Linked DNA regions of Oryzias latipes. The protein of the gene in region 2 interacts with the protein of the main gene of each other region in a pairwise test. Links are inferred from orthologs where the notes say so. Each region holds a gene or a part of one and is shown on either strand. Other genes may lie near its edges.

Region 1 (3,578 bases), on a different chromosome or scaffold from region 2:
ATATATATATATTATTATTCATTTTCAGCTAAATACGTTTTGAGGTACTTCAGCGTTTCGCTAATGTTTTGTCCAAAATAAAATATTTGTATCTAGTTTAGCACTTAGCTTTAAATCTCGTAATTTTAGCATTTTAACTCTGCCGACAGCAAAATAACACGTTCTATGAACTACTGCAACCATTTACACAATTATCGTAATTCCAATGGATAAAAAGAGGCTTTATGCTGATATGCGACATAAAGAAATAAACGTCTGCATAAACAACGCAAAACATTTTCCGCGTCAGAATTAGCTGGTTTACGGTAATTGCGTAAAGGCTACAATACTGTAAAATGCCGCATATCAGCGCCAGGTACGGTAGTTCAAAGAACGTCAAGGCTAGAGTAACATCTGACCCTAAACGACACCTAAACGAACTATGATAACGTTTTTGACTGTTTACACAAATAACGTAATTACGATGGATTCACGAAGAGGGAAGCGACTTTCTGTTACTTTACGTTGGTCAAGTGTTGCGCAAAGCCGTTGTTCTCTTCATTAATATTAATATATTTTCACCCTCAATTCTAGCATTTACCCATAATCTGGAGCCTTTAATCTGTTCTTATGTTTATCTTCTTTTTAAAGATTGAATATTTTTTGTATTACTAACAGGTATTTTTTGTCTAAATACTCATTTTTATTGCGTTTCATTTTTAGCGCAGGCCATGCTAGCAAGGAGACAGATCAGGGTTGCTTTAGGTCTGCAACAGATATTTTTTTACATTAATACAGGAATATTGTTTTTTTTTCTTTATTTCAGGCAGCTTCAACTTAACGTTGGTTATTGCTTTGGAAATTCCTAGAACAGCTACAGAAATTGAGCCCATCCTCTCATTTCTGATCAGATGGATAAATCAACAAACTAGCAAATATTGTGCGTCATGCATTAATGCCGTGCATTGACTAAACTAGAGAGGCATGCTAATAAATAAAGGAGTGCAAGGAGTCTGACAGTTAGTACAAGGAGTGAACCATCAACTCTGGGGGTGTACCTGAGCGTCAAACCCTCCAAAGTCCATCAGATTGTTGGTCTGAGAGCGCGACAAGGAGAGAAAGACAGAAAGTTTGCAGTTGAACAGACTAAGAATCATTAAAAAAAACGTGATTTTCTTAACACTTTTTTCATCTTTCTTCCTCTTTTAGTCCATATTTTCAAATACTAAACAGTACTTTATCTGCAAATCTTAAAATGCTATTTATACTGGTGACTTTTTAGCAAATTGGGGTCCCTTTTTCTATGGGAAAGAATTTGTGTTTTAAGTTTTTTTTGTTTTGTTTGGACAGTGATTTTTTTAAACCACAAAATGCTATTTTCCTACAGTGTTCATCAAACGTTAAAAGCTTTTATTTTGAAAATCCATTGACGTGAAAGGAGAAATTTCTGCACTTTTGAAGCAGTTTAGGGATGAAAATAATAATAATGTGGTGGGTTTATCGTTCTTACTGTGAACAGAACTGGATGTGTATCTTGTCTTACCACAGCATCGATGTCTCTGTGGCCCACAAACTGCTCCAGTGCCTTGTAGTCGTCCGGAGACATGGGCATGATGTTGTCTTGCAGCCTGGACGGCGGTCTGAACCAGGTGGAGGAAGCGGTTTGTTAGAAGCACGTGTGTCAGTAACTTCTGAAGGCGTTTGCAGTCGGCGCTTACACTTCTGAAACGGATATGAGCTCTGTCTTCATGTAGCCACTGGGCTGCGAGCTCTCCACGTCCATGGGCTCTTGAGCTAAAAGAGGAAGGGACAGACGTGAAAGTCTGCGCTCAGAAATGAGGGCGCGACGGATCCGCTAGCGTGTCTTACGCTCTGGGGGTTTGGGGTAGTATTTCCCAAAAGCCTTGTCTTTGGGGATGGCGGGGTAGAGGAAGCGCAGCGGGTTCTCTGGAATGTTCTCGGCCGCCATCACCTTGTAGGTGCGAATGATGTCGGGCAGCGAAACAGCAGTCAGCTCCTTCTTGGTGTACGGCTCAACGGAGTGGAAAATCGGCTTGTCTGGAGGGACGGAAGAAAACGGATAAACTAAAGAATCGCCTGATTCCACCTTAACTTGTAGGTGTTTGGGCCAGAATTTCATGTAAAACTCAAAAGTGGGGATCCATCATGCTTATATCAATGTTTTAGGCTGGTGGTGGTGGTATAATGATGTGGGAGGTGTTTTCAAATGCAGGTGACTTGAGAACCTTCTTGGATGTTATTTACTAAACAATGTGTTACTTTAGCTCGGTCTCTTTACACATCCATATTGTTCAGCACCTGCGATTCAACCTGCAACTTGTAGGGTATTAGCATAGGTAACAGCACGCCTGCTAACACAGGCTAACCACTAATTGTAACAAACATAAATAAAGAACCTTAAAACCTCTTTACCCTCATCGTGTTTAAATATTCAAATAAAGTCTACGTGGGATAGTGTTAAAAAAAAAAAACTTTGCTAAAACTTAAAAAACTTATAACAGAAAAGTTAATGATGCTATATTTTCATCAAGCTAAAAAAAATACAGAAGAATTTTTTTTCAAAAAAGCTGTAAAATGCTCAAGAACAATTGATGCTACAGATTAGCCAAATGCTAAATTAGCTTAACCTGTTTTAAAAAAACCTGCCTTTTAGGCTAAACATAATCTTTAAGAAGTTTGACTAAAAAAAAACAATAAAAAATACTAAAAAATGTATGCATCTATCTATCTATCTATCTATCTATCTATCTATGCCTTTATTTTATTTTATTTTCATGTAAAGTGTGTCTTTATTTTAATGTGAATTATTAAAGTAGTGTACATCTCTCTCTCTATCAGAAAGAAACCACAGCTAACATAGACTAACAGCTAATCGGGGAAAAAGCAATAAAGAAAATATTAAATTCTAATTTAACTCATTAATGGTATAAAAAGTCATGTAAATTGTGTATAGTGGCAACATTTAAATCCTAAACAGTAGTAAAAATGTCACGTGAAAGCTGAATGCTAACCTAGCTTGAAATATTTCAACATAATAAAAATAAAAATCTGACAAAAAATAAAAAAGACTAATAATAGAAAAGCTAATTATGCTATTTTATCATTAAGCCAAAATAAAGTTTAAATACCTCAAATAAGAAATGTTACATTTCTGTAGCTTAAAGAAAGCTAATTCATTTTGAACAAAGCTAGCTATGCTAAATGAAATGCTACTTCCAAAAACAACCACTACAGCTAGAAAATGTGTTTGTTTGGTTTTTCTTTTGCCTCTTGACTGCAAAACATTTAATCTGATAAGTGAACTGATTACTGTATGTCAAAAATTAAAAACATGAATGTTTTTCTTGTTAAAGAAATCCTGTCAGGGTCAAAGAATGCTAAAGTTGCTAGCGGTCAACACATATTTGACAGATTGAAGCTTCGTTCACTTGTTTGGAAACGGGAGAATGAAAATGAAGGCTAAAACTCCTTAAACCTGCAGCCTGTCTCATCTTGCTGGTGGTCGCGTGAGGTTCTGTGACTGCGGCGCTCACCGTGGATGTCGTGCTCGATCCAGGTGAAGGTGATGGCGCCGTCCC
Region 2 (4,329 bases):
AAAAGACTGCGTGAAGATATGAAGTCTTCAGTCTATAAATGTCACTCAATAAGGAAGCCTGACATTTTTAAAGAATGACACCAACAGCTTAGCTGTTGAAGAATAATTACAAATGTCATGAGTCATATTTTTTATGTCCTAAAAATTGGCTTCTCGGTGCCAGCAGGTACTTCCTGTTTGGAACGCGAGGGAGGAAGAGTTACTCAGTCCAACTGTCTAATACTGTTTATGGCTTCTCATTAAATAATCAGAACGCAACCAAAATCAAACATAACAAATCCAATCCAATGATTAAACATAATTTTTTAACAAATAGCATTTATTTGATTCCATTAGAGAAAATACGAGAACCGTCAGCAAAGATTTCCTGTTTGTCATAGAAACATGGCTCCATAGGAGATTTGCTGAAGAAGAAAAGCAGGAATGTGAGGAAAACAGCTGAAATTATCTCATCTGGATTCTTGCTGAGTTTCTATGATCACATAGAGACCGCTTCATGTGGAAACCATACATAAGGTTTCATAAAGTTCACTGAATGAGATCAACTCGCCAACAATCTGACCAGCAGGGGGAGCTGCTGCACAGAAGCCAACATTTGAAATCTTCCTAGATTCAGTCAGTCTGTGGTAATTATCAGTTCTCCATCGACCTTCATCGCTGCAGCTAAGAACCATTTTCAGTCACTGGTTTGTCCTCTTCATCAGTGTCGTCCTCCTCGCTCTCGCTGTACTGGTAGTTACATCGGTTTGTGTTTACAAAAAGGTCGCTGTCGTCCTCCTCGGAGCTGCATCCTTCCTCTTCCTCATGTTTTGTCTCCGCGTCCTCCTGACGCGTGTTTTCGTTATTGTGTGGCAGCTTCTCCGTGAAGCCCTCAGGCCTGGAGGGGAGCAGAGAGAAGCATGAGAGCCCGAAGCGACGCACACGTCCTTGTGTCTTCAAACTCACCAAAGCTGCTGTTTCTGAAGGTTCTGAATGTGATCTTTGTAGAGGATGAAGCTGATCTCCGCCTTCACCTTCTCTCCCTCCTCGATGGGATCCACAATCACGAAATCGCCTGAAAGTCGAGCCAAAAACACAAACCCCAAGAAAACGTATTTATAAAAATGACAGAATAATTGATTTCTATGACCAGTTTTTGCTGATCTAACTTCAGAATTTCATTACCTGTTCGTCTAAATTAAACAAGAAATTAAATTAATTTAGATTTAAAGGTTATAATATACTTTTAAGAGTTGTGGCTAAAATATGTAGTTTTTTTAGATGAGGAAAAACTGTTGTACTGTAATTTTTACATGAATACAGTTTGCTGAATAAATAAAAATAAAAAAAATAAAAAATGTAGGCAAAATTAATTTGTGATCATAATTTAAAAAGCTTTATTAGAAAATCTAAAAGTTAAATGCAAGTGGAACAATTCCAGACAAGAGTGTTTCCAAAAATGTGCTGATAGTTGATGTGCACAAACCCCCCTTAAACCAAAATGATGTCCAGATATTTAGGTTTGAAATACCTGAACATCGTTTTTATAAATCTGAAAATGTTCTTGCATTGGCATATCTTCCTTCTAGCCTGAAATCCAATCAGTTTTATGCACAGTTCTAATGTTCGAATGGTGTTGCCTCAACAGACAATAGGTCTTAAAACCAGGGAATTGAATCCAAGACTTCCATGTTATGAGGTTGGTTTGCTCTCCAACAGCCCCTCCTAAATGTATACAGTAAATCGACAATGTGTAGTTGCTTGTCTTTCAGCCTTAAGTCAAACCAAACACGTCTTTCTCTCCCAAAACCTTTTTTAGAGCAGTTTCAGGCATGTACATCTATAAACATCAGGAATAGTAACCGTTTTATAATCCCGTACCTCTCTTGATCCAGATGTTTTTCCGGAACTTGGTGGGCATGCTCACCAGGAAAGTCTCCCCCTGAGCCGTGACTGCTTCGTGCAGATTGTTGCCTCGACTTCCAACAACCTGAGGATGTGCAGTGGATGAAAAAAGGGAAGGAGGAAGTTTTTGTAAGATTGTTAACATTTTTTTACATTCCTGTTGATCTTTAATTATTAGGACAGTATTCTGCAAAACACTGAGTTCACCTTTACAATCTGCTGGTTTTCTGTCGGTGTGACAAAATCTCCAAGAACTTCCTTGACAACATGTTTGCGTTTGGTGGCCTGGGACATTATAGACAGTCAAGTGGTGCTTTGGTCGCCAGCTAACACAAAGAAAAGACAAAAAAAACTTAAAAATTGAATTTTTAGTATTCAAAGTTCAAGTTAAGATGCTTTTTGTTTTTTTTGTATGCGACACGATGTATAGTCTGAGGTTAAAATAAAGTTTGCTTCATTTAAATACAAAAGAGTTAATACTTTCCGAGGTGAGGGGGATCGTTGTGCGCATGTCAAATCAAATGTCCACCAAAAATTAGCAAAGCTAGCACTAGCACGGACAGAAATATCTCAAAACCCATTTCCAACCCATAAGGACGAAACTTACATAATTGGTAAGGGGAAAAGCATTATTATTATCATTGTGCAAGTTACCAAATATTTGTTTTTCCTTTAAGCTATATATACAATATATATATTGACATTCGAAATTTAAATCAATAATGCTAACGACTTAGCTGTGTAAGCAAACATTAGACCGTAACTTTTTTTCGTTCGTCGGTTTATTTACCTTGGAAAATAGATAATATTCTTTCAAAGTAGGATTTGAACCGGCAAAAGAAAAACTGAATAAAAACGGAGCAGAAATATTAGGACTTGAACAGAAGTTTTAGCCGTTTAGAGTCGCGTGCGGTTGTTAGTAAAAACACGGTGGAAGTAACCAAACACTTCCGGTATCACTGTTTGTGTGTTCAAAATAAAAGAACCTGTTTTGTTCACTTTAAATAGTAGTGCCTTTAAAAGGAATGATAAAACCCCATTAATGCTTGTTTCTTGTAAATAAGAATGAGTATAATCCTCCACATATCACAAATGTCACCAACATTTTTTTAAACTTTTTTTTTTGGTTTTGTTCAAACATGTTTCTTCTGAAACACCAATGATTACTTCCTGAAGTCTTGCCATGACCTGTAGGAAATGTAGTTTTTAGGCCATGAGTAACGTTCAAGATCACCAACATGACAAATTCAGATGTGCCAAATTAATGTCTTTTCTAGGTAAAAATTCACCATTGTAGACTGAAAAAGCGTAAACACTCTCCCTCTCTCTCTATATATATATAAAACTGAGGTTTTCGCCTTTTATATATATATATATCTATATATCTATATAGATATATCTATATCTATATCTATATCTATCTGCAATGGGAATGATTCCATATACACACATATATATATCTATATAGATATATATATGTGTGTATATGGAATCATTCCCATTGCAGATACTCTCCAACTGGATTGTTGATTTAGTCCAGGATTCCCCTTAAAGTGTGGAAAGACTTATGCTAAAGTTTATCAAGTACCATGTAACCCTTGTGCTATGCTAGGCACTTTAACGTTGGGAGTTGGGTCATCTAGACCCACTAGACACTTCTCTGAACCTTTTTTCTTCAATGATTTGTGATCTTCACTGGTGTCCATGGATTACAAGAAATCCTCTTCACCTTCATCCACTTTTGTCATAGTAGGGAGAACACATCAAAGTAAAACTGGGGTCATAGAATAGCACAAGGGTTTAATATAGGAAATCACTGAAATCCCTACAATAGTTTACCAAAGTCATAGTTAAAACCACCTCAATATCCAGAGGCACAAAAAGGTCAAAGAGCTACATAACAATTTATTAAATAATGGAGTGAACACATGTATGCATTTCTGGTATTGAATTTTATTTTTAATTATGCTCCAGAAAAAAACTTCCATACACAAGAGAATTAATGGTTCCAATCTCTTTATTTAGTTTTTGCCCATAATTCATCATTACAGCAGTCAAAATTGCATTTCAGGTGTGTAGTATTGTGTAGACCCCAGTAAAACCAAAGTACTAGTCTTTCAGGAACACAATAATACTTCAAAGAACTTCCAGTTAAGCTGAAGAGGCTTCAAGCTTTGGGCTCAGTCACTGCAAGTGGAAAATGAACTACACTCAATACTGCATTTTTACACGGCATCTCTATAAATTGCTGGAGGAAACCTGCTGGTATGAATCATGCACACAAAGCTTGTTTTAAGAATACTGTAAAGCTTGATGAATTGGAGTTTTCACTGGATAAAGTGACAAGGAAGAGGAGGTCTGAAGTTAAATTGTGCAACTTTGTTTAACGGAGTCTTGGATTGTAGTCTTCATGTGTTTTGTAAAGATGATAGAGCAGAACAGCAG
Region 3 (3,578 bases), on a different chromosome or scaffold from region 2:
CGGCCCGGCCCGGTCCCACTGACGCTCTAACATGACGGCAGCCCAGCTTTCGGCGGCAGAACGTACCTCGTTGGCGGCTGCAGCCATGGGGGTTGGGTGGTTGGCCATGTCGCCCATGGAGATGGCCAACCTCAGGTCCTTCTGAATGTGCTTCAGGTAGTAGTCTGGCTTGAAGTTGCCCTGCAGGATATCTGGCAGAGGACAGAACCGTGAGCCTAAAGCTTTCAGTTTGAACTTCCTGAAATCGGTTGCTATGGTTACAGAAGGACCTGTCAATACTCAACATGAACACATTTAATCAAAGCCTCAAACCGTGGAGCTACTGACTTTGGCACTTCTGGTCCACAAAGGTGCTGGCCATCTGGCCCTGGCACAGGATGTCCAGGAAGGTCTGCTGTGATTGGCCCGTTGCTTGGGCTAGAGTTAAGCCCTCTGCAATGGTGGCCATGAAACTGCCCTGCACCATGTTGAGGATCAGCATCATTCTCGCTGCGTTTCCTGCTTCACCTGACGACAGAGACTACGTGAGAACAGGACCTGCATGAAGATCGCCCCAAACCACCTGGATATACCCTCACAGGGGGCAGAAACACCAGTCTGTGTGACAACTATTCTCTATTCTTAGTTACCAAGAAAGAAGGAGGTTTTGCCCATGGCCTGAAAACAGCTGCTGCAGTCCTCGTACACGGTCCGGTCGCCTGCAGCCAGGATGACCAGCATGCCGTCGTTTGAGAGCTGCTGGCTTCCTGCCACCGGAGCTTCCAGAAAGCGTCCGCCTCGCGACGTGATCACCTGCCGTTCAAAGACAGAGTTCAGCGGCTGCGGAGGCGCCCACCCGAGCAGCTTCAGCGTGCAGAAGGCACACCTGGGACAGCTCTGTGATGGTCTCCGGGTCCACGGTGGACATCTCGATGTAGCATTTGCCCGGCCTGATTCCCTGCAGGACTCCGCTGGGTCCTAGCACCAGCTGACAACAAACAGGAGCTTTGGTCAGACCTGACGCTGCCGCAGTGACAGCCGTCTGTTTCTACAGAGAAGATGCTCACGTCTCTAGCAGCCTTTGGGTCAGAGACACAAGAGAAGGTGATGTCACACATGGAAGCCACTTCTGCCGGGGTTCTGCCTAACCTGGCCCCCTCCTGGATGAACAGGTCACACTGGGAAAAAAAAAACAAGTGGAGTTTGGTCAGACGGTACTTTTCTGGTAGCGTCACAGAAAGGCCTGACTTTTAGCCGCTCCTCTAAACTGGCGGGACATGAAGGCACCTGGTAAGCGGAGTCTACAGGAAGAATGACAGGGACCTGAATGACGGTAGAGAGCTAAAGACCCGCCGTTTATTCACCTGCAGAGCGGAGCCGTGCTACTACTGAACTAGAAAACAAGCTTCATTCAAGATCACCTGCAGGCACCAACAGGTGAAGGAAAGCCACTCAAAGGGCCGGAGAAATGTTTGCACCAGATCAGGAGTCCTGAAGCAGAGCTAGTGAGTGGAAACGTTCCACATCTACCCGGAACAGATCAGATCTAGTGCTACGGTGGAACAGAAAAACGGCTGTTCTATAGACGTTTCTGTGACGTTAGCTGCAGTTTTCATCAAACACACACAAAACAGGGCGTCTGAAGAAGACGGTACCTTTTCGGCGGTGCGGTTCCACACGGTCACAACGTGACCCATTTTTAACAGGTTGGAAACGATGCCACTGCCCATGAGCCCCAGACCCAAGAAACCTATCCTACGAGACACAATTCACAGAGAGCAACCATTACAACACACTCAGACGGTGGTGCCAGAGCGCAGCGGGCTGTCCTCACCTCTTATCGGTGGGGGTGATGCTCCCGTTAATGGCTGTGCTGTCTGCTGCTTGAATGGATGTGGAGCCTGTGACCTGCGTCACAAACACTCTGCATCAGCTGCAGTGACACCCCAACACAGTCCTGATCCAGAACATCAGAGTCCTCAGAACGCTTCTCGCTGCCTTTTGGTTCCTCTGAGAATCAGGGGACTGGGACATAGTTTCTGCAGAGCGGCAGCAGTTCCTAAGAAACTCACCATCAAGCAGTGGGCAGGGCTGTTGGCGTGGACGTAAGCCTCCGGTTTATTTCCATCATCCCCTTGTTCCCACTGCCCCCCCCCCCCTGCCCCTCCCCATCCTAACATTAGCGTAGCAACAGAATCAGCAGCAACATCAGATCCGTCCATCCGTCCAGTTCTGATCCAGACTCCAGTTCAGACCAGGAAAACACAGACGCTCATGGATCTGTTGGTCTGCAGGTGGATGGTCAGAAAGGGGCGGAGCTTGGAGACTGACCTGCAGACTGTAGTTTGTACAAAACAACCACAATCTTTCACAATTGTAGTCCTGATTCCCCACGATTTGAATAAAGAAACACTCAGTTGTAGTTTTAGTTCATTTGTTTGGGTGTCTGAGGCCTTTTCAGAGGTATTTTTATTAAAAACATTTAATAAAAAAAGCCCCATGGGAGAAAAACGGCTCCCCCAAGGAAGAAGTTGACTGACCTCTTCAATGATCTTCAGGCGTTTGCTTATGGGCTCCATGGAAGAGGCTGGCTGTGGACACAAAGCACAGGTGGTGAGCAGGTGAGCCTCTCAGGTCTGACTAACCAGCTGGTAACCAATCAGTGACAGATCCACCATGGGATCCACAACTTCACTGTTCAGGTCATAAGCACAAGCAAAAGGTCACCTCTGAATATCTGCACCGACACGCGTGACCTACTGCACACGCTAGAGAGTGCAGGAGTCCAACGGATGACAGCAGATAACGCCGCCACTAAAACAACCAATCGGGGAGAAATCCCACAGATAAACAGTTTTTAACAGACTGACCTGAACATTTTTTGTCACATTTGTCTGGATTGTTCATAAAAACAACCCAAAATTCTGCTCCATAACCCCCACATTGTGGAGGACAATTCGTTTTAGCGTCACGCATGACAGCCTTAGCGTGCACTGATGAGATCCATTCATGTCAGAGAAACCCGTCAATGTTGGGGAAGAAAATAACTCGTTTGTGCTTCAAGCAGACGAAACCAGAAGCTGGACTGGAGAGTCCAACGAGTAACCATGACGACGAAGGTCAGCGGTCCCCACGCGGCGCTGACGAGCCAGAAGAAGTGATCTCACCATCCATGTATGAAGACGTTTTCTAACCCTCAGTCCCACCATGTAAGCAGTTCCTAAACCCCCTCCCCTCTCTGGAAGGCAGGAAAAAAGCCACACCCCCATCCCGCTCCTCTTAATGGGATTCTTACCTTCTCTGACTGGCTGAGCAGGAAATGATGAAAATGTGGGTCATCTTTGACTGGCTGCAACACAACAAGAGGAGTGTTAATGGCTGGTGTTGGAGCAGGGCTAGTTCCCATCCAAACACCTGCTTTGACAGAAGGCTGCAGTCTGGGGTAGGAGGGCCCCAACAAACCCATTTCAACGTTTCCACCTGCAGGTGTGTTGGGGGGTGTCAGCCTGCTGTCCACCGACTGTCAGGGCCTTTGGGGGGCCCTAAAACATCTACAGCTCTGCCTTCTTTTTTGGGACAAAATAGACATTTTGTACATT

What was found.
Region 1: the proteins of eif1ad (region 2) and signal transducer and activator of transcription 1-alpha/beta interact in binary tests that used the Homo sapiens proteins (3 or more experiments, as listed by UniProt). The two-hybrid records come from large-scale screens. The link is inferred for Oryzias latipes from reciprocal best matches to the Homo sapiens genes EIF1AD and STAT1.
Region 3: the proteins of eif1ad (region 2) and glyr1 interact in binary tests that used the Homo sapiens proteins (3 or more experiments, as listed by UniProt). The two-hybrid records come from large-scale screens. The link is inferred for Oryzias latipes from reciprocal best matches to the Homo sapiens genes EIF1AD and GLYR1.

The regions. Positions count from the first base shown.
Region 1 is NC_019860.2:3,984,167-3,987,744, forward strand, and holds part of signal transducer and activator of transcription 1-alpha/beta, read right to left. Parts: coding exon 3,534-3,578; intron 2,038-3,533; coding exon 1,849-2,037; intron 1,774-1,848; coding exon 1,698-1,773; intron 1,620-1,697; coding exon 1,523-1,619; intron 1,077-1,522; coding exon 1,038-1,076; intron 1-1,037. UniProt on the Homo sapiens protein: Signal transducer and transcription activator that mediates cellular responses to interferons (IFNs), cytokine KITLG/SCF and other cytokines and other growth factors.
Region 2 is NC_019868.2:26,090,957-26,095,285, reverse strand, and holds eif1ad (probable RNA-binding protein EIF1AD), read right to left. Parts: upstream 2,836-4,329; 5' UTR 2,675-2,835; intron 2,211-2,674; 5' UTR 2,179-2,210; coding exon 2,092-2,178; intron 1,970-2,091; coding exon 1,861-1,969; intron 1,055-1,860; coding exon 946-1,054; intron 878-945; coding exon 664-877; 3' UTR 299-663; downstream 1-298.
Region 3 is NC_019866.2:25,324,941-25,328,518, forward strand, and holds part of glyr1 (putative oxidoreductase GLYR1), read right to left. Parts: intron 3,329-3,578; coding exon 3,275-3,328; intron 2,571-3,274; coding exon 2,520-2,570; intron 1,888-2,519; coding exon 1,814-1,887; intron 1,735-1,813; coding exon 1,635-1,734; intron 1,158-1,634; coding exon 1,047-1,157; intron 968-1,046; coding exon 866-967; intron 793-865; coding exon 630-792; intron 508-629; coding exon 328-507; intron 192-327; coding exon 67-191; intron 1-66. UniProt on the Homo sapiens protein: Cytokine-like nuclear factor with chromatin gene reader activity involved in chromatin modification and regulation of gene expression. Acts as a nucleosome-destabilizing factor that is recruited to genes during transcriptional activation.